4 linked regions of the Saccharomyces cerevisiae S288C genome follow. The protein of the gene in region 1 interacts with the protein of each later gene in a biochemical or structural test. Each region holds a gene or a part of one and is shown in the gene's direction. Other genes may lie near its edges.

Region 1 (4,734 bases):
TGAAGAGCATGCCAGTTTTGAAGAGTTTGACTACGTACGACCGTGCCAAACTTGCCGATGCACTGGATACCAAGATCTACCAGCCGGGTGAAACAATCATTCGCGAGGGTGATCAAGGGGAGAACTTTTATTTAATTGAGTACGGAGCTGTGGACGTCTCTAAGAAGGGCCAAGGTGTCATAAATAAACTGAAAGACCATGATTATTTCGGTGAAGTGGCCTTGCTAAACGATTTGCCCAGACAGGCCACTGTGACTGCTACAAAGAGAACCAAAGTTGCCACATTGGGGAAAAGTGGTTTTCAACGTTTACTGGGTCCTGCAGTAGACGTATTAAAGCTCAATGATCCTACAAGACATTAAGTAAAAAGGGGAAGCGATCTTAAATCCACATGAATTTCCTTTCTCTTTTTCTTCTTCTTCTGTTCCCTTTTTCTTTCTTCTTCCTTCAACGTCTACGTAAATATAATGTATAACATCTCCACTTTCCTTTCCCTTATAGCGTTATGTTACCTGTTTAAACTCTAAATTCTTCATCTACTACTGCTGTTACTACATGTATATATGTTCATTTTTTTTTTTTTTTTTCACCACGGAAAACGTAAAAATGAGAGCATTTGTAACAAATAAAGGAGAACTGTTCAATCAAGTGACATACAAAAACTCTCTCCAACTCTACAATCACCACCGTAATGTCTGATGCTCAATTCGATGCTGCTTTAGATCTTCTTAGGAGGCTAAATCCTACCACGTTACAGGAGAATCTAAACAACTTGATCGAATTACAACCAAATTTGGCACAAGATTTACTATCTTCAGTAGACGTTCCCCTATCCACACAGAAAGATTCCGCCGATTCAAACCGGGAGTACTTATGCTGCGACTATAATCGTGATATTGATTCGTTCAGATCGCCTTGGTCGAACACTTATTACCCAGAACTATCCCCAAAGGATCTACAAGACAGCCCCTTTCCCTCAGCCCCTTTAAGAAAATTGGAGATCTTAGCCAATGACTCTTTCGACGTTTACAGAGATCTCTATTATGAAGGCGGTATCTCCAGCGTGTACCTCTGGGACCTCAATGAAGAAGATTTCAATGGGCACGATTTTGCAGGGGTAGTGCTTTTCAAAAAAAACCAATCAGATCACAGTAATTGGGACAGTATCCATGTTTTTGAAGTTACAACATCTCCTTCTTCTCCCGACAGTTTCAACTATAGAGTCACCACTACAATCATTCTGCACTTGGACAAAACAAAAACTGACCAGAATTCTCATATGATGTTATCCGGGAACCTGACAAGACAGACCGAAAAGGACATCGCTATTGATATGTCCCGTCCATTAGATGTTATTTTCACATCACATGTCGCTAATTTGGGTTCCTTAATTGAGGACATTGAGTCTCAGATGAGAAATCTATTGGAAACTGTTTATTTCGAAAAGACAAGAGATATCTTCCACCAAACAAAGAACGCAGCCATTGCTTCCTCTGCTGAGGAAGCGAATAAAGACGCACAGGCAGAGGTAATCAGAGGTTTACAGTCTTTATAGAAATATTTACATGTATCGCTGGTATATCATATAAATACATACAGCAGCACTAAGTGGTAGAAAAGCGCTATCAAAAATCACTCGGAACGAACACTGAAGAAAAAGCGAAAAATCAAAAATATGACCAACGCTTGGAAAATTTCAGTAGCAATTAGACGAACCTCGCAGTCCTGTAGTAAAACGGATTAAGGGACTTCATATACTGTTGATACTCGGTGTATTGCAATTACCTACTAGGAGTTTTCTGAATAGGGACTTAAGAAGTCAAATATACAGACAAAAATAGGGGGTTGTAGAAGGAATATTTGATTCGAACTATGAAATGCAGGGTATGGTCAGAGGCTCGTGTTTATACGAATATCAATAAACAAAGAACCGAGGAATATTGGGATTATGAAAATACTGTAATTGATTGGTCCACAAATACAAAGGACTATGAAATTGAAAATAAAGTTGGGCGAGGAAAATACTCCGAGGTTTTCCAAGGTGTCAAATTAGACTCTAAAGTTAAAATTGTTATTAAGATGTTGAAACCAGTTAAAAAGAAGAAGATCAAGAGAGAAATCAAAATCTTAACGGATTTGTCTAACGAAAAAGTGCCTCCAACGACTTTGCCATTTCAAAAAGATCAATATTACACAAATCAAAAGGAGGACGTTTTAAAATTCATCAGGCCCTATATCTTTGATCAGCCACACAATGGTCATGCAAACATAATTCATCTATTTGATATAATAAAGGATCCCATCTCAAAAACTCCGGCTTTGGTCTTCGAATACGTAGATAATGTGGACTTCCGTATTCTTTACCCTAAATTAACCGATCTCGAAATTAGGTTTTATATGTTTGAGTTATTAAAGGCCTTAGACTATTGTCATTCAATGGGAATAATGCATAGAGATGTTAAACCTCATAACGTAATGATTGATCATAAGAATAAAAAATTGCGATTGATAGATTGGGGGCTTGCTGAATTTTATCATGTTAATATGGAATACAATGTTCGTGTTGCGTCGAGGTTTTTTAAGGGTCCTGAACTACTAGTTGACTACAGAATGTATGATTATTCTTTAGACTTGTGGTCGTTTGGGACAATGTTGGCTTCTATGATCTTTAAAAGAGAGCCATTTTTCCATGGAACGAGTAACACAGACCAGCTTGTCAAGATCGTCAAAGTACTTGGTACAAGCGATTTTGAGAAATACCTGTTGAAGTATGAAATTACCTTACCGAGAGAATTTTACGATATGGACCAATACATCAGAAAGCCTTGGCATAGATTCATCAATGATGGTAATAAACATTTAAGCGGCAACGATGAAATTATTGACCTTATTGACAATCTTTTGAGATATGATCATCAAGAAAGATTAACTGCTAAGGAAGCGATGGGACACCCGTGGTTTGCCCCAATAAGGGAACAAATTGAAAAATAAGAAATAAATAATGAATGAAATAAAAAAAAAAAAATCACTGACAAACGATATAACGATTACTTTTTTTTACCATCTGTACAATTGTACTTAATTCTAATAGATTTAAAAAACTAAATACAGGTTTAAAGGGCTTCCTCCATACAACAGAGGCAAGGAGGACTAAGGGGTTGACACGAGCAAATTTCATACATGCAAAATAATAATGTCTTAAAGGTAATTTATACCATAAATGTAGTAACTAAACGAAATAATAACGGCAGAAAAGAAAGGATGCAGCTCGAGTATTTATACACGTATATTACATATATAGTTGTCCTTATCATTCTTGAATGAAACACCGTTGTGCTCACCAAAACTTTGTTATTTTATCTTTTCAGAATTGGGTAATGATTGGTTGTCTGGATCCTTACCACCTTCTACGGGCTTGAGATCTATATCGTCATCGTCAGTATCGCTTCCGAAACGTTGAGAGTATGGCTCGTGCTTGATGGCTATGATCTTACCAGTATCTTTATCCACTTCTGTAACGTCTGAATCGATCATTAAAAGTTCTTCAATGATCTTTAATGAATCCACAGTCATGCTTTCATTTTTGTTGCTACTATTAGTGCCATTAACATTATTATCTGAGTCTTTATTTAGTTTTTCATGTTCACGTAAATGAATTTTGGAGAATTTCTTGAATTTAGAGATTAGTTTTTCATAGTAATTTAACTTTTTCAGTAAAATTCTATTCTCGTCTTTAATTTCGTTAAATTCCTTTTGGAGCTGCAGCTGCGCAACCTTTTTCCTTTGTCTACATTTCGAAGCTGCAATTCGATTTCTTTCTAACAATCTTGCTCTCTTCCATGCCGTAGTACCAGGGATTGGATTTCCCTGTGTGTTCGCCGCTAAATTTAAATGAGATCCTTGAGATTTTGGAGTGAAGCTAGGATTAGAGTGAGATTCCCTAAGTGCAGATTTGCCCCTATTTTCACCTCCAGTAGTTGGCGCAAACGTCGTCATGCCTTCCAAATCACTTATACTCTCCGCTGGAGTATTCTTTGATGGCGCGTTTACAAAATTTCGCTGCTGACTTTTCGAGTAAATAACGCTCTGATCACCCAATGCGGAGTCCTTCGTGGGATTAATAACTTTTTTTGCATTGTATTGTGGAATACTACTAACCGGCACTGCTTGGTTGAAGACCGGCTTGTTTGATACATTCCTAGTTTGGCTCAGACCATTATAATTGTGAAAATTGGGCATCGGGGGCGGCTGTGTGTTGTGCAGGTTTTCCAAAGTTTCAATATCTTCGCCTAGCTGGCTTATTTGACCGTTAGAGATTGATATTCTTCTTCTTCTAATTGGCTCATCGCATCCAGGCAAAGAACTTTGGAAAATTGGTGGATTCGTCATAGGTAAATGTGCTACATCAACACCAAAAGGTTGAAAAAATGGCGACAATGTTTCCAGGATGGATGGATCGTTCAAGGCATGTGGGTTGTTATTCATATTCATGTTCATGAAATACATCTGCTTGTTCACAGAAGCCGTATTGGCGATGTTGGACGCATTAGTCGGGGCTGTAGTAGAATCATTCGGAGCGGACTTACGGGTAGACGACAGTTGGCTCAGATTTGTATGAGTGGCCAGATTCTGATGCATATCCTGTACGACACCAGAATTCATCAGAATATCACCGTAGAGTTGGGATTCCTCTTCAGTTTTCATAGAGGGTGACTGTTGTCGCTGATCCTGCTG
Region 2 (3,885 bases), on another chromosome or scaffold:
ACGACAATTAGGACTTACATTAAATAGGCTTTTTGCCTAGTATAACATCATAAAAGTACCTTCTTTTGTTTCTTCCAAAAAAAGACAGTAACCATCTGAAAAGAACGTCATTGTCGAAAATTACAAAGTTTGTGGCAGCGCTTTTTACTGCAGCAAGTCAATTGCTTTCATGGCATTTTCAATCAAAATACGAGTTCTTACTAATTCCTACGGTGCTTCCTGCATTGATTGATCGCGAGTTACTATTTTTAACTCGAATGGGTCTGCGCGTGTTTCTCCGGTGTTGTTCAAAATAATCTGTTTGCTGCGTTTAATAACTACAACAGTTAACGGAAACAGTGAAATTTATTGGGGACTTTCAAGTAACGAATAATCATGCTGGTAGAAATATTTCTATTTTTATAATTAACAAATCTTTTAATGACGTCTTGTGGGCTGAAAACTACGGCGTTTATTTTTTAGATAGGTTATTCCTTCGTTGGATTGAGTAAGAAAATGTCGATACTGTGTTACGTTTGCAAGGAAAAGATTTAGTTGCGATTAGCCATTCATTCTTGTGGAAACTTCTTTAAAAAGGGATGGCGATGGAGTACTTATGTCCAATTATGAAGTCAAATTTATTTTCAAACCGTTACACGTAGATTATTTTCCTGCAGTGGTAAGTATCTTTGAAGTGTTGAAAGTTTTTTGGCACATATTTTTTTGCGGATGTGGGCCTGAGTTTCCTGTTAGAAACAAAGATATGCTTAAAACTAAATAACATTGGAAATTAGGGCATAGTCTTCAATGTTATACTTAAACATCACAGCAGGAGATTGAGATGATTGAAAGAATGGTGCAAGAAATGATTCATTAACATTCTTCCAAGTTTTGCAATATTTGCAAGTATTACTATCAGACTTTAGTTGAAGTGACTATGCTATTACCAAATTTCACTGGAGCCAGAAAAATAAAGATCACTTAGAGACAAAGAAAAGTAACATCTTCAACATAAGCCGGAGCTCAAAAGTAGGAAATCGGATAAGAAACTTGATTCTGTTATTTCAAGTGATTTTTTGCTGTATCGCCCACGTTCTTGTTGTAGATGTTTTGTAGATGTGGGACCGAAAGTAAGTGAACAGTGAAGTAAACAGAATAGGATTCTAAAAAAGAGCTTATAAACTGTTCTTTAAAATTTTTTCTTTCGTGAATGTCCTCGAGCTATCTCAAAGAAAACGAAATCTTCATTCAACTTAAGTGTAGGTATTATTTGCTGTTTCATCAAATGCGGCACCAAAGTGGAAGTATTCTAGTCAGTTAGTTTTTCATTGTGAGGAATTGATATGTCGTTCTCTGATAGAACCACGCTAAGTTGGTGTTCAATTTTTTGCAATTCGGTAGTAATTATGCCTTGCAACATGTTTTATTCTTTTATAGTGTGATACCGTCAATATGATGATTTGCGGTGGAGCATGCATGTGCTTACTAGAAGTGCTGCTCTGGTGGGCATTTTAGGGACAAGAATAAATTCTTCTCTCCACTATCTGAACTTCCGTTATTCTTCTGCACGTAATTGCCGTTTTTAGGATTTTTTGGAGTTGTCACGGTATAGATATGTCTTATTGCGTGATTTCACGGTGTCTTGCACACAACATTTCCAGGTCACAATATTTGGTTCGAGGTTCCCAGCAAGAATTCATTATCCTTTTCAATGTGTCGCATTAAATCATTATCCAAAAACAAAAGAACTTAAGAAGTACAAAAGACACTTGAAGTATGCTAGCGTAAGAAATACGGTAACCAATATTTATATGTAACATGCTTATTCTGTCATGATTTCACAGTTCAAACTACATTCCTATTCAAAATCATCGCGTTAGTGAGACAAAATCGGTGGGAGAGATGTTAGACAAAAAGATGACAACATTGGAAATAAACCACGACGAAAAATACCTTTGAAAGGATCTTTTTTCGATTTTCCTGTGAATTTGTAGGCTTTTGATGGTACGAGGGTAAACCAAACTGGACGGGAAATCACCATTATTAGTCCTATGTAGAGCCTCGTCACCATACCTATATAAACATAACTATTCTTTTAAGTACTTAAACGGCTTTTTTCTGAAACAAATAGCCAATGTTTTCATAACGAAGATTCCAAAGTTACTTAACGCTCTTCAGGCACTTCCTTATTTATTATGACACGTACAAAATAATAAATTCGTAGTTATAAGATTATCTTATCATATTTAAAATATCTCTTCTTTCAGTTGAAATTGGGCCCAAAATTTTTACCCCATAGCGTTAAAATTAAACAAAAACTGCTATTTCGGTGACAAATTGTAAAAATTCTGAAAACGGAAGAAACAAAAACGTTTAAAATGATTAAACTTTGGTAAAGCAATAATCTACAAATAATTGGAAAAGGAATAGTAATAAAGATGGGGAGAATTATGAAGAAGAATGTCATAAAAAACACTGAAAACAATTAACGAGCCATGGGTAAAAGAAAGAAGTCAACAAGAAAGCCTACCAAGAGACTGGTCCAAAAATTAGATACGAAATTCAATTGTTTATTTTGTAATCATGAAAAATCAGTTTCATGCACTCTGGACAAAAAAAATAGTATAGGAACTTTATCGTGCAAGATTTGTGGGCAGTCGTTCCAAACGCGCATAAATTCATTATCACAGCCTGTTGATGTATATAGTGATTGGTTTGACGCCGTCGAAGAAGTCAATTCTGGCCGTGGAAGTGACACAGATGATGGTGACGAAGGTTCTGATAGTGATTACGAAAGTGATTCAGAGCAAGATGCTAAAACGCAAAATGATGGCGAAATAGATTCTGATGAAGAGGAGGTAGACTCGGACGAGGAGAGGATAGGCCAAGTTAAAAGAGGCAGAGGCGCCTTGGTAGATAGTGACGATGAATAATCCGGTCCTGAGAAAAAACCATATTTACTTAGGTCATATATATTTTATATTTTAAAGCAACCACCCGTAAGCATTTAAGTCTCTTAAGCCAACAAATCGCCTCGCCATCTTAATCATCGTCATCAGTATCGAATATAGATTTTGGTGGGAAAGCGGTTTTAACGTGGTCCGCTAATTGCATCTGTCCATTTCCATCGTTCGTGGGACATCTATCAATGGTAATTGCGCCCACCTTTGATTTCAATAACGTGAAAGTACCATTGTTATTTTTGTCTGGATTATTAGGCAATAGTTGGCTAGCTTCCAACCGCTGCTGCTGGTCCTGTTGTATATGACTTTGTATATGCCTTTGTGGCGCATCCTCACATTTGCTGAAATCGAATTCGGGAGGTGGTGATGCTGGGGGCGATATCAGGAACATTTTTTCACTCTCTGGTACCTTCAAGTATTGTTTAGTTAAATTCCTTTGTCCGTCTTGCAAGGAGTAGCTGAAGTTAAAATTTTCCATTTCTAAAGCACGAGACGCATCCATAACATGCTGAGATATATCATGACTGGGGCAGATCAACAGTATTCTTTTAAACCTTTTCAAAATAATCAACTGTAGTGGTTCATTTTCATTGATTTGAAACTTCCTTAAGATATTCTTGGATAGCCAAACCTGGATTCTTTCAACATTATCATTATCAACAATGTCGCACTTATCCGAGGTTATAATTATCGTATCCGTTATAATATTACCCATCTGCAGTTCTGTGTTTTATATATCGGTTGGTTTATTGCTTGATCTTTTTGGCCCTCTTTTTTTCATGGAATTACTGTATTTAAAAAGAAAACCATACTTTATATAGAAGTCATTGGGCAGAAGGGTCTTGTCAACGAGCCGCCTAGGAACTACACCTGACAGCAACTTGCGGCAAGATAGTAAGATAGCATAATTCAAAGCCTCTTGAACCTTACAGCGCCTTGCCGC
Region 3 (4,583 bases), on another chromosome or scaffold:
CTTCAATACTGCGTTGGAGAAAAAAAGTGCGTATCTTTGTTTACTTTTCGTCTTCGAGGGGAAGGATCAAAGGCGCATGCGTGCCCGCAGGAGGGGGCGCCAGGATTGGGGGTAGATACAACATCAAGGAAGCGTCATGGTGGCTTCTTGGGTCTTAAATACGCAGGGAATTAAAGTTTCATTTATGTGCCTTTACATGCACTCAAAAACCTTCTTAGTTACAGGAAAAGGTAAAGATACGATAAGAAAAGCCTTTGAACTGCCCATCCTGCATCCTAACACAGATCTAACTCACTATTCGGGTAAGGAAGTGTCATGCATGTCTGCAAAGGGACTAGAAGAAAGTTACATGATTACATAAGCAAAAAATCGGAATTACAGACACACCATTTTTTATCCTGCGGCCCCATTTCCGTCTTCGAGGGAAAGGATCAAAGGCGCTTAGCCCAATCTTGATGATTCACCGGGGAAGAAAGGAATTACAGAACCCCCAGCCACGTAACACAGCCAATTAGTTTTCTATATCGGGAAACGTGATTGATTGCGCAATTTTGGCTGCATCAGAATACATCGATGAGATCTAGAGCACCCTTTGATGGTTTAAGTCCGGTTTAAAGTTAGTAGATCAATGATTTCGTAGTGCATTTTAAAGGGAGCGCTTATCCATGGGTGATTGCGTTTACAACGTTTTGTGTGTACTCATAATAGCCAATCTAAAATTAAACAACAACAACAACGCACAATTAATATGTATCAGCCCCAATACCTTTTTCTCTTACTGTAATTTACTACTAAATTGGGGTCGGACGTTTTTGATCTTGTTCCTTGCCTGTTGTTTACCTTGTATATTACTTTTCCTCTTTTATGTATTTAAGGTAAATTAATTATCTTTTGATCTTAATATTTTTCTCAAAATGCTTCCCTTGTAGTTCGGTATTTTTGCTTCTTCAGATATTTAAACTACCGTATACCATAACTGTTTCGTGAAGTAGATACAAACATCGACTATCCTATTACGATTTATTTTACATTATCATATTATAAATCGACCAGTAGTATTGTTAAAGATTAAAAGCATAATATACTACTGTCATTAGTCACCTACAGAGAAACAAATTCCTACTGGCACCCATTACTGGTGAAAAAGGAAAAAAATAATAAAAGAAAAGCTTTTCTATTCCTCTCCCCACAAACAAAATGCAAGCGGATATGCATGGAAAACTTCACGCTGCCTTAGAAGATGGTTTCTTCCTCTTTCCTTTTGAACAGCAACAACAACCTAACATTTATTATGACACAACCACCGATCAAGAAGACCGTCCTTGTTTTTCTTTTGGATCTACAATTTCCCCTAGAAGTTGGCATTTTGAAAAGTCTGACAAAATTGCCTCATCTCAGCTGCAGAACTTGGTTCATACACAACCAATTCATTTAATTAATCCTCAAATATTGTTCAATGAAGAGTTTCTGAATTTGGAAAATATTGATTCTCAGCCTATTTCCAAGGAAACGAAAACTACGAAGGACTGCACAATGGCAACTGGTCCTGAAAGAGGAAAAAAGAGCTCTGAAAGTACCAGATCCTCTTCATTATCATCTCTTTTTTCTAATGATGAATCCGCATCTACGTTCCACTCATCATTCAATAACCATGATAACTTTCAAAAGAGCAACAGAAATGGAGATGATATCGATATTAGTGACACAATAAAATATGAAACTAATACAAATGCACAAAAAGATATCAAAATATTCCAAGAAAATTTTGAATTCAATGAATTCCCATACACACAAGACTTCTACCCATATACCACTAATTATACCTATTCAAAACCCACAAATATTCATGAATCAATAAATTCAAAAAACACGGATTCATACTCCCAATATCAAGATCAGTTTCCACCACATACTGATAACATACATTCCTTTAATAATCGTCACTATAGCAACCATAAAAGCACTAATTGTAATTACTATAATAATACCAGCAATAATAACAACGCCTCCGATAATGTATATGAGGCAGATCCATTTATAGATGAACCTCAGGTGCCCTCCTACTATTACCCATTAGAAATTGCCTTCGACGTTGAAAAATCACCACCGCCATCACTACAAAAATTAAATTCAAAAGAGTTAGAATTCCTAAAAAAGTTGAACTCCAAACTGTCAAGATATGCTGCGGCTTACTCCTTCAGCAGTTCTAATGATCAAGATTATTATGACAAGGTCAGGTTTCAAGAAATATCCTACAAGTTTAGTAAAACCTATTCTTAATTCTCGAAAAGTACTACAATCTTCCCCCTTCCCTCAAAATATATCCATTCACACTCATTTCTTTATTTCCATTGTCTCACTCAAATTGCTAAGAATTTGTGTATTTGCATATATATATATTATATATAGGTATATATATGTATTCAATGTCTCAAGCTCCATGACATAATACCGTAGCGTTATTAGCCTTATCGTATGTCGCGATGGGAAAGGAGATTCGTTTTAATCTTGAAAAACCTTCGTAGCGAATAATGCGACATAAATCTTGAGAGAGTACATCACCAAATTCACTTTGTTAAACCGCACCATCGTGCTTTGCATTCTTATTCCTTTTGCCTACACTAAAATTATTAGCATTTCTCTAAATGAGCTCCAGTGAAGACGAAGACGACAAGTTCTTGTATGGTTCCGACTCCGAATTAGCACTACCTTCATCTAAACGATCAAGAGATGATGAAGCAGACGCAGGTGCGTCCAGTAATCCTGATATAGTTAAAAGGCAAAAATTCGACTCTCCCGTGGAAGAAACTCCAGCTACTGCCAGAGATGATCGTTCTGATGAAGATATCTACTCTGACTCCTCAGATGACGATAGTGATTCTGACCTAGAGGTTATCATAAGTCTGGGTCCTGACCCTACTAGGTTAGATGCAAAACTACTCGATTCTTATTCTACCGCAGCGACATCTTCAAGCAAAGACGTAATTAGCGTAGCTACAGATGTATCCAATACCATCACAAAGACATCAGATGAAAGACTAATAACAGAAGGAGAAGCAAATCAAGGTGTAACGGCAACGACCGTAAAAGCTACAGAGAGCGATGGAAATGTACCGAAAGCAATGACTGGTTCTATAGACCTGGATAAAGAGGGAATCTTTGATAGTGTTGGCATAACGACAATAGATCCTGAAGTATTAAAGGAGAAACCCTGGAGGCAACCGGGGGCCAACTTAAGTGATTATTTCAATTACGGTTTTAACGAATTTACCTGGATGGAGTATTTACATAGACAGGAAAAACTACAACAAGATTATAATCCTAGGAGGATCCTAATGGGCCTATTATCCCTCCAACAGCAAGGGAAGTTGAATTCCGCGAATGATACAGACTCAAACCTCGGTAATATAATTGATAACAACAACAACGTAAACAATGCAAATATGTCTAATCTGAACAGTAATATGGGTAATAGTATGTCTGGAACACCAAACCCTCCCGCTCCACCAATGCATCCAAGCTTCCCACCCTTACCTATGTTTGGTAGCTTTCCACCATTCCCCATGCCAGGTATGATGCCACCCATGAACCAACAGCCTAATCAAAATCAAAATCAAAATTCGAAATGAATGGGGATCTGTGAAATTGAAATAAAAATATATCGTCCATGATTCACGTATTTACTCTTATTATGTGTATTTAATTAATCTTTAAACTAAAGACCTCTCAGTCATCAGATTATATGCTGTTTTCATTCCATTAATCACCTTCTAATTAAAATCTTGCTTCAAATTATGACCGGTTGTTCGAGTCTTTTCCTCCTCAGCTAACTTTTCACAATACTTTTTCACCCAGGGTTGATGGAAAACATTCAACTCAACAACTTCCTGGAGCTTATTGTACCAATCACTTTTTTCCTCATTAGAGCATTCCGCGTTGAAAGTAATTCTTTCACCATCGTCAAATACTAGCTGGAAGCATTCATTAAAGAGTACCCAATCTGTAAAATTCCTTTGCCCTCCATTATCCGCCTGGATGTCTTCATTACGTAGGACTTTCGTGACTTTCAACAGATTAATATCGATCTTAGCCTTTCTAGAGATTTCATGATAACCAGAAAGTTGCGAGCCGTGCAGTTTGAAAAACCTGTTTTCTATCTTTCCTTTCAGATCACCACCATCCTGCAATAAATACCCTTCTTTATAGATATTTTGTTGCAACTTGTATTTGGAAACAATCTTATTGACCAATGAAAATTGTTTGGGAAATTGTTCAAAGGCAGAAGTTCTTTCTAAGAAACATGCTTCCACATCCAACGAAGCCACTTTGTGAGGCGCCTTGCGTGGTAACTCGTACAGCCTTTTTGAGCCGTGAATTTTGTCTGCGATTCTACTCCACTTGTTAATCATATTGTAATGCATATGACTGGTATTAAATGCCACGTTTTTCAAAAACTCTTCATTAATTTCAATTTCACAACGAGCAAATGAACCGTCTTGTGCAAATAGATAATCCCACTCATCTTGTTTAGGTTTTTTCTGTACATACTTCTTTTCAAATTTATACTTTGTCTTTCCAAAAAA
Region 4 (4,793 bases), on another chromosome or scaffold:
GTCAAAGCAACCACCGTCTGCATCCGCGCCGCAATTGCCACCAGCAACGGAACCACACAAAGAACAAGCAGCACAACAACAGCCACCAGGAAATGCTTCTAACTTTTTAAGGATCTTTTCAAATAAAAAAATGAGGTCGCATTCCGTACCCACTATTTTGCATTCTTCTTTAAGAAAATTATCATCCCACAATCAATACTATCGTAATCAAAATATTCTTTTAAATCATCCAACTCCTTCCGGCATATCAAAGAAAAAATTTTCTAGAAACCATCATCAACCATATTTGCATTCTAATAATCCTCTCAGTTCAAACCCTCTTTCATTAAAGCGCGCAATTTTTTTAAATCAACAAATATCAGGTAACGCAAGCACTAACGCTAATAATGACAACATTAATAATTCCACTGCCACTTCAATGACAAATCAAAGCTTCCTATCAAGCTCAAACTTTGACTTAACTTTGGAAGATAGAATAAACTACATAAAGGCTACTCCAACGCCTGTTCCATTTCCTCCTATAAATTTGCAGGGCTTAAAAGAGATTGACTTACAGGAAATTCTGAAAAACCCACAACTAAGACATGATATAATATTCGACCCGCTACTACAATTCAGGCCAAATCTTGATGGCGAAAGAGGGAATAAAAAAAGACAATTGGCGAATATCTATTGGAATGATGTTCAAAATGAAATTTATGTTTACTCTAAGAGGCCTGAAATATTCCAATATAACAGGTCAAGACTAGTCCCACTTTTTGACACTTTAAGGGATGTATTGTTAACGATAGTCCCACAAAAAGAGTCTCCGATGATAAATAATGTACTGGACACAGAATTGAACATTCAAGAACTATTGAAAGGTTCTCTGATAATGTCTAACTTGTCAGGCTGGTTGGCTGATTTATTTAAACATCATTGTGCCCCCATGAGGGACCCATGGGTGGATAAAATGAGCAACAAATTTAAAGAAGCTGAAAGAGACTCTTCTTTAACAAGGTTAATAGAAGGTTTAAGGTTGGTTTTTCAAATTTTGGAAACAATGAAATTGGATATTGCCAATCATCAAATAAGAATACTAAGGCCAGCTCTGTTAAGTAATGCTGTAGAATTTGAGAAACAGTATTTCAACACTCTTATAGCCTCTAAAAGGGTGAATTTAAATACTTCCCTACTTTGGTTTGATAAAAAATTCAACGAAAATGTTACCGCTGGCCTTGTTAGAAATCCAAGTTCTATCACTATCCCTGATGTCTACAATATTTGCATTAGAAGTATAATTAACCTATTGTCATGTAGGAAGATGGTGAGAGAGTACCCAACTCCGCTTTCTTTTGATCATGCAAGATTGATCCTTTTGCGTGCCGATATACGTCAAATTGTTTGTATTTTAGTTTGCCGTTTACTTTTCCAACAATTGGTGGCCAACGATCCTTCAATGGATAAAGCTACAAAGGAATATGTTATTCATACATACTCAACTAAAAGGCTGAAGAATGAAATTATCAGCATTATAACAGATGAACACGGCAATTGTAGGTGGACTAAAAACACAATGTCTATTGCTGTTCATCTTTGCAAAGTTATTGACGATCTTCACAGGGAGTACGACAACAATGGTAGTTGTGAACAAGCCAGAAGGCCTCAATTGCCTTCATTAGACAACTCAAAAATAACCTTTGCTAAATCTTGGTTATCTAAGCAAACTCAACCCCTCAGTGAAGTTTATGGTGTCCTAGAAAATAGAGTATTCAAATCACTAGAGGACGCTATCTTCAACAGGTCCGAGTGCACAATTGATGGACGCGTTAAACAAGACTTTGTGTACCTCTACAACACAAACAATGGCAACGTAGGTAGCACTAACACTTTGAGTACTACTACAGATACTGCTAGCGTTAAAATCAGCCCGTCTTTGATGTCTCCTTCTAAAACCTCCACCACCACACCTACTGGCAATGCGATTGCATCCAGAGGTTTATTCGCAGCAACAGAGCTGGAGGAATTCGAGAATGTTTATCGCCACTTATATGCATTAATCAACCTTCATTGGTCCGTATTCGGTCCTCATTATATCGAAATGTTAGGAGATAAAGTTAATAAAAAAGGAATATAACTATTATCGGTAATGGAGGAAAAAAAAATTTTTTTACCATTTCTTTATGTAACTTCATATATCATTTTTAAAGCGTACATTTCTTATAATTTCACTTCTTAAATGCAGTCACATATTTACTGCTATCAGACAAAGTAAAGCGTCGCTAATTACTTGCCTCCACGAGTTGCTTGTCAATCAGGGGCGCTTCATCTCGCCAGCGAAAGCGCGTTGTCCATCTTATTTAACAAGAGAAAAAAAAGATAATTCAACTTAAAAAGAACGTGCTATCAGCTATATAAAATGTAGACACATTATGTATCAGTGTTTCTTTAGCAATGCGAAAAATATAGGCTTAGTGTCATTTACTTAAAGTTTAGAAACTCTGCACACTTCACCAAGAACAAGTTTAACCGCTCATTACTCCAAACGGATTTTTTTGCCTAAAGAATCACGACAATGAAAGTATGTTATCACTCTAAAACTGCCATGCTCTTTATTCGAAATTACTAACATTGTACCTGAACCCTCCTTTTCTTCCTTAGTTTATTGATGAGCTAGATATAGAGAGAGTGAATCAAACTCTCAATTTCGAGACAAATGACTGTAAAATCGTGGGCAGTTGCGATATTTTCACAACAAAGGCGGTTGCATCAGATAGAAAATTATATAAAACTATTGATCAGCATTTGGATACTATTTTACAGGAAAATGAGAATTACAATGCTACCCTTCAGCAACAGCTAGCTGCTCCCGAAACAAACCAATCACCCTGCTCGTCGCCATTTTATTCTAATAGGAGGGATAGCAACTCTTTTTGGGAGCAAAAGAGAAGAATATCTTTTAGTGAATACAATAGCAATAATAACACTAACAACAGTAATGGCAATAGCAGTAATAACAATAACTATTCTGGACCTAATGGTTCTTCTCCAGCAACTTTTCCCAAAAGTGCCAAGCTAAATGACCAAAATTTAAAAGAATTAGTCTCGAATTACGATTCTGGCTCTATGAGCTCATCGTCTCTTGATTCTTCTTCTAAGAATGATGAGAGGATAAGAAGAAGGAGCAGTAGCAGTATTAGCAGTTTCAAAAGTGGTAAATCATCGAACAATAATTACAGTTCTGGTACAGCAACCAACAATGTTAACAAAAGAAGAAAATCTTCGATAAACGAAAGGCCAAGCAATTTAAGTTTGGGTCCGTTTGGTCCCATAAACGAACCGTCAAGCCGCAAAATATTTGCTTATCTGATTGCTATCCTCAACGCTTCTTATCCTGACCATGATTTTTCATCGGTTGAGCCAACGGATTTTGTCAAAACATCATTGAAAACTTTTATTTCCAAATTTGAAAACACCTTATATTCTCTTGGTAGACAACCAGAGGAATGGGTCTGGGAGGTAATTAATTCTCACATGACTCTTTCTGATTGCGTCCTTTTTCAATATTCACCTTCAAACTCTTTTTTGGAAGATGAGCCTGGCTATCTTTGGAATCTTATAGGTTTTCTTTACAACAGGAAAAGGAAAAGAGTGGCTTACCTTTACTTGATTTGCTCGCGTCTAAATTCGAGTACAGGCGAAGTGGAAGATGCCTTGGCAAAAAAACCTCAGGGAAAGCTTATAATAGATGATGGCTCAAATGAATACGAAGGAGAATACGATTTCACTTATGATGAGAATGTAATAGATGATAAATCAGATCAAGAAGAATCCCTACAGTAGTTTTAAACTTTAATTTGTGAATTTTCCTTGTCTTACACCTATAATCGTTAAAAACAGTCCCTTTATGTCTACTATTGTAAGTTTCTATTTTTAAAAAAATACCCTTTTCAACTATGTACCTTTATGACAATATTATATTTACTAATTGAACACTTTAGCGAGGATTGAATAATGTGCGCTACTATATAAAAAGACTGCCTTCATCATATATTACTGCAAAGCTCTTAGTTTCTTTCGAATACGGAACTTCAATCAGGCTGTTTCTATTCCTCGCTTAGTAATTTGATATGCAATTTGACCAGGCTTAGCGAATGTGGAATATACCACTTTCATTGTCCTCTTAACTTGCCAGAAGCTTGCCGAATCACCTCCCTTATAAAGATGAGCTTCACCTCTTTGAATTATTGTTGAAGCCTTGAAAGATTTTTGAAGTAATATTCGTGTTGAAACGTGATTGGACCAAGTCAAACCGAGATTGGGGACACGATAGTCAAATTTCCGTTTCTTACTTTGTCGACTGATAGGACTTGATGAATTTCGCTCAACGGTTTTATTCTCAATTATGGGTGGTTTCTTTTTTGAAAAAAAATCATAATTCCGGTCATTTACAGTGCTCATAACTCTCTCGATTAGCATATAATCTTCATCGTCTGATAGAATTTCATCGTTATTGGAACTTGCTCCAAGCAGCGAATTCATCTGCCGATAAAGAATGGTTGAGTTCTTCCAGCCAACTAGCCACCCTAGCTGATAATCATAATCAGTTACATATGTCCTATGTGCCACTGGACTGTTAGCCAGTGGTTTATCCCCAACTTGATTAGCCACCACAACGGATAATGAATAATCGTGGGCCAGTATTTGGAGCTTCTCTGCCATCCTATCCAGATAGTTTTTATTTTCTTGGGATTCTCTGAAGGACTTGTTCTGAAGCTCCACCCTCAAATGATGAGAAATCGAATCTATTATCA

Evidence for each region.
Region 2: of the proteins of CKA1 (region 1) and ELF1, one has a biochemical effect on the other in vitro, tested with the Saccharomyces cerevisiae proteins (4 studies listed by BioGRID, with this or other methods).
Region 3: of the proteins of CKA1 (region 1) and FIP1, one has a biochemical effect on the other in vitro, tested with the Saccharomyces cerevisiae proteins (4 studies listed by BioGRID, with this or other methods).
Region 4: of the proteins of CKA1 (region 1) and MAF1, one has a biochemical effect on the other in vitro, tested with the Saccharomyces cerevisiae proteins (2 studies listed by BioGRID).

What each region holds. Positions count from the first base shown.
Region 1 is NC_001141.2:286,047-290,780, reverse strand, and holds CKA1 (casein kinase 2 catalytic subunit CKA1), read left to right. Parts: upstream 1-1,872; coding exon 1,873-2,991; downstream 2,992-4,734. Other genes in the region: cAMP-dependent protein kinase regulatory subunit BCY1, read left to right, coding at 1-362; CAP2 (F-actin-capping protein subunit beta), read left to right, coding at 692-1,555; CST6 (Cst6p), read right to left, coding at 3,352-4,734.
Region 2 is NC_001143.9:150,795-154,679, forward strand, and holds ELF1 (Elf1p), read left to right. Parts: upstream 1-2,474; coding exon 2,475-2,912; downstream 2,913-3,885. Other genes in the region: RCN1 (Rcn1p), read right to left, coding at 3,022-3,657. UniProt on the Saccharomyces cerevisiae protein: Transcription elongation factor implicated in the maintenance of proper chromatin structure in actively transcribed regions.
Region 3 is NC_001142.9:602,266-606,848, reverse strand, and holds FIP1 (cleavage polyadenylation factor subunit FIP1), read left to right. Parts: upstream 1-2,645; coding exon 2,646-3,629; downstream 3,630-4,583. Other genes in the region: transcription factor IME1, read left to right, coding at 1,198-2,280; BUD4 (Bud4p), read right to left, coding at 3,771-4,583. UniProt on the Saccharomyces cerevisiae protein: Polymerase-regulating component of the cleavage and polyadenylation factor (CPF) complex, which plays a key role in polyadenylation-dependent pre-mRNA 3'-end formation and cooperates with cleavage factors including the CFIA complex and NAB4/CFIB.
Region 4 is NC_001136.10:455,865-460,657, reverse strand, and holds MAF1 (RNA polymerase III-inhibiting protein MAF1), read left to right. Parts: upstream 1-2,554; coding exon 2,555-2,560; intron 2,561-2,640; coding exon 2,641-3,822; downstream 3,823-4,793. Other genes in the region: SOK1 (Sok1p), read left to right, coding at 1-2,116; putative DNA-dependent ATPase RAD57, read right to left, coding at 4,075-4,793. UniProt on the Saccharomyces cerevisiae protein: Mediator of diverse signals that repress RNA polymerase III transcription. Inhibits the de novo assembly of TFIIIB onto DNA.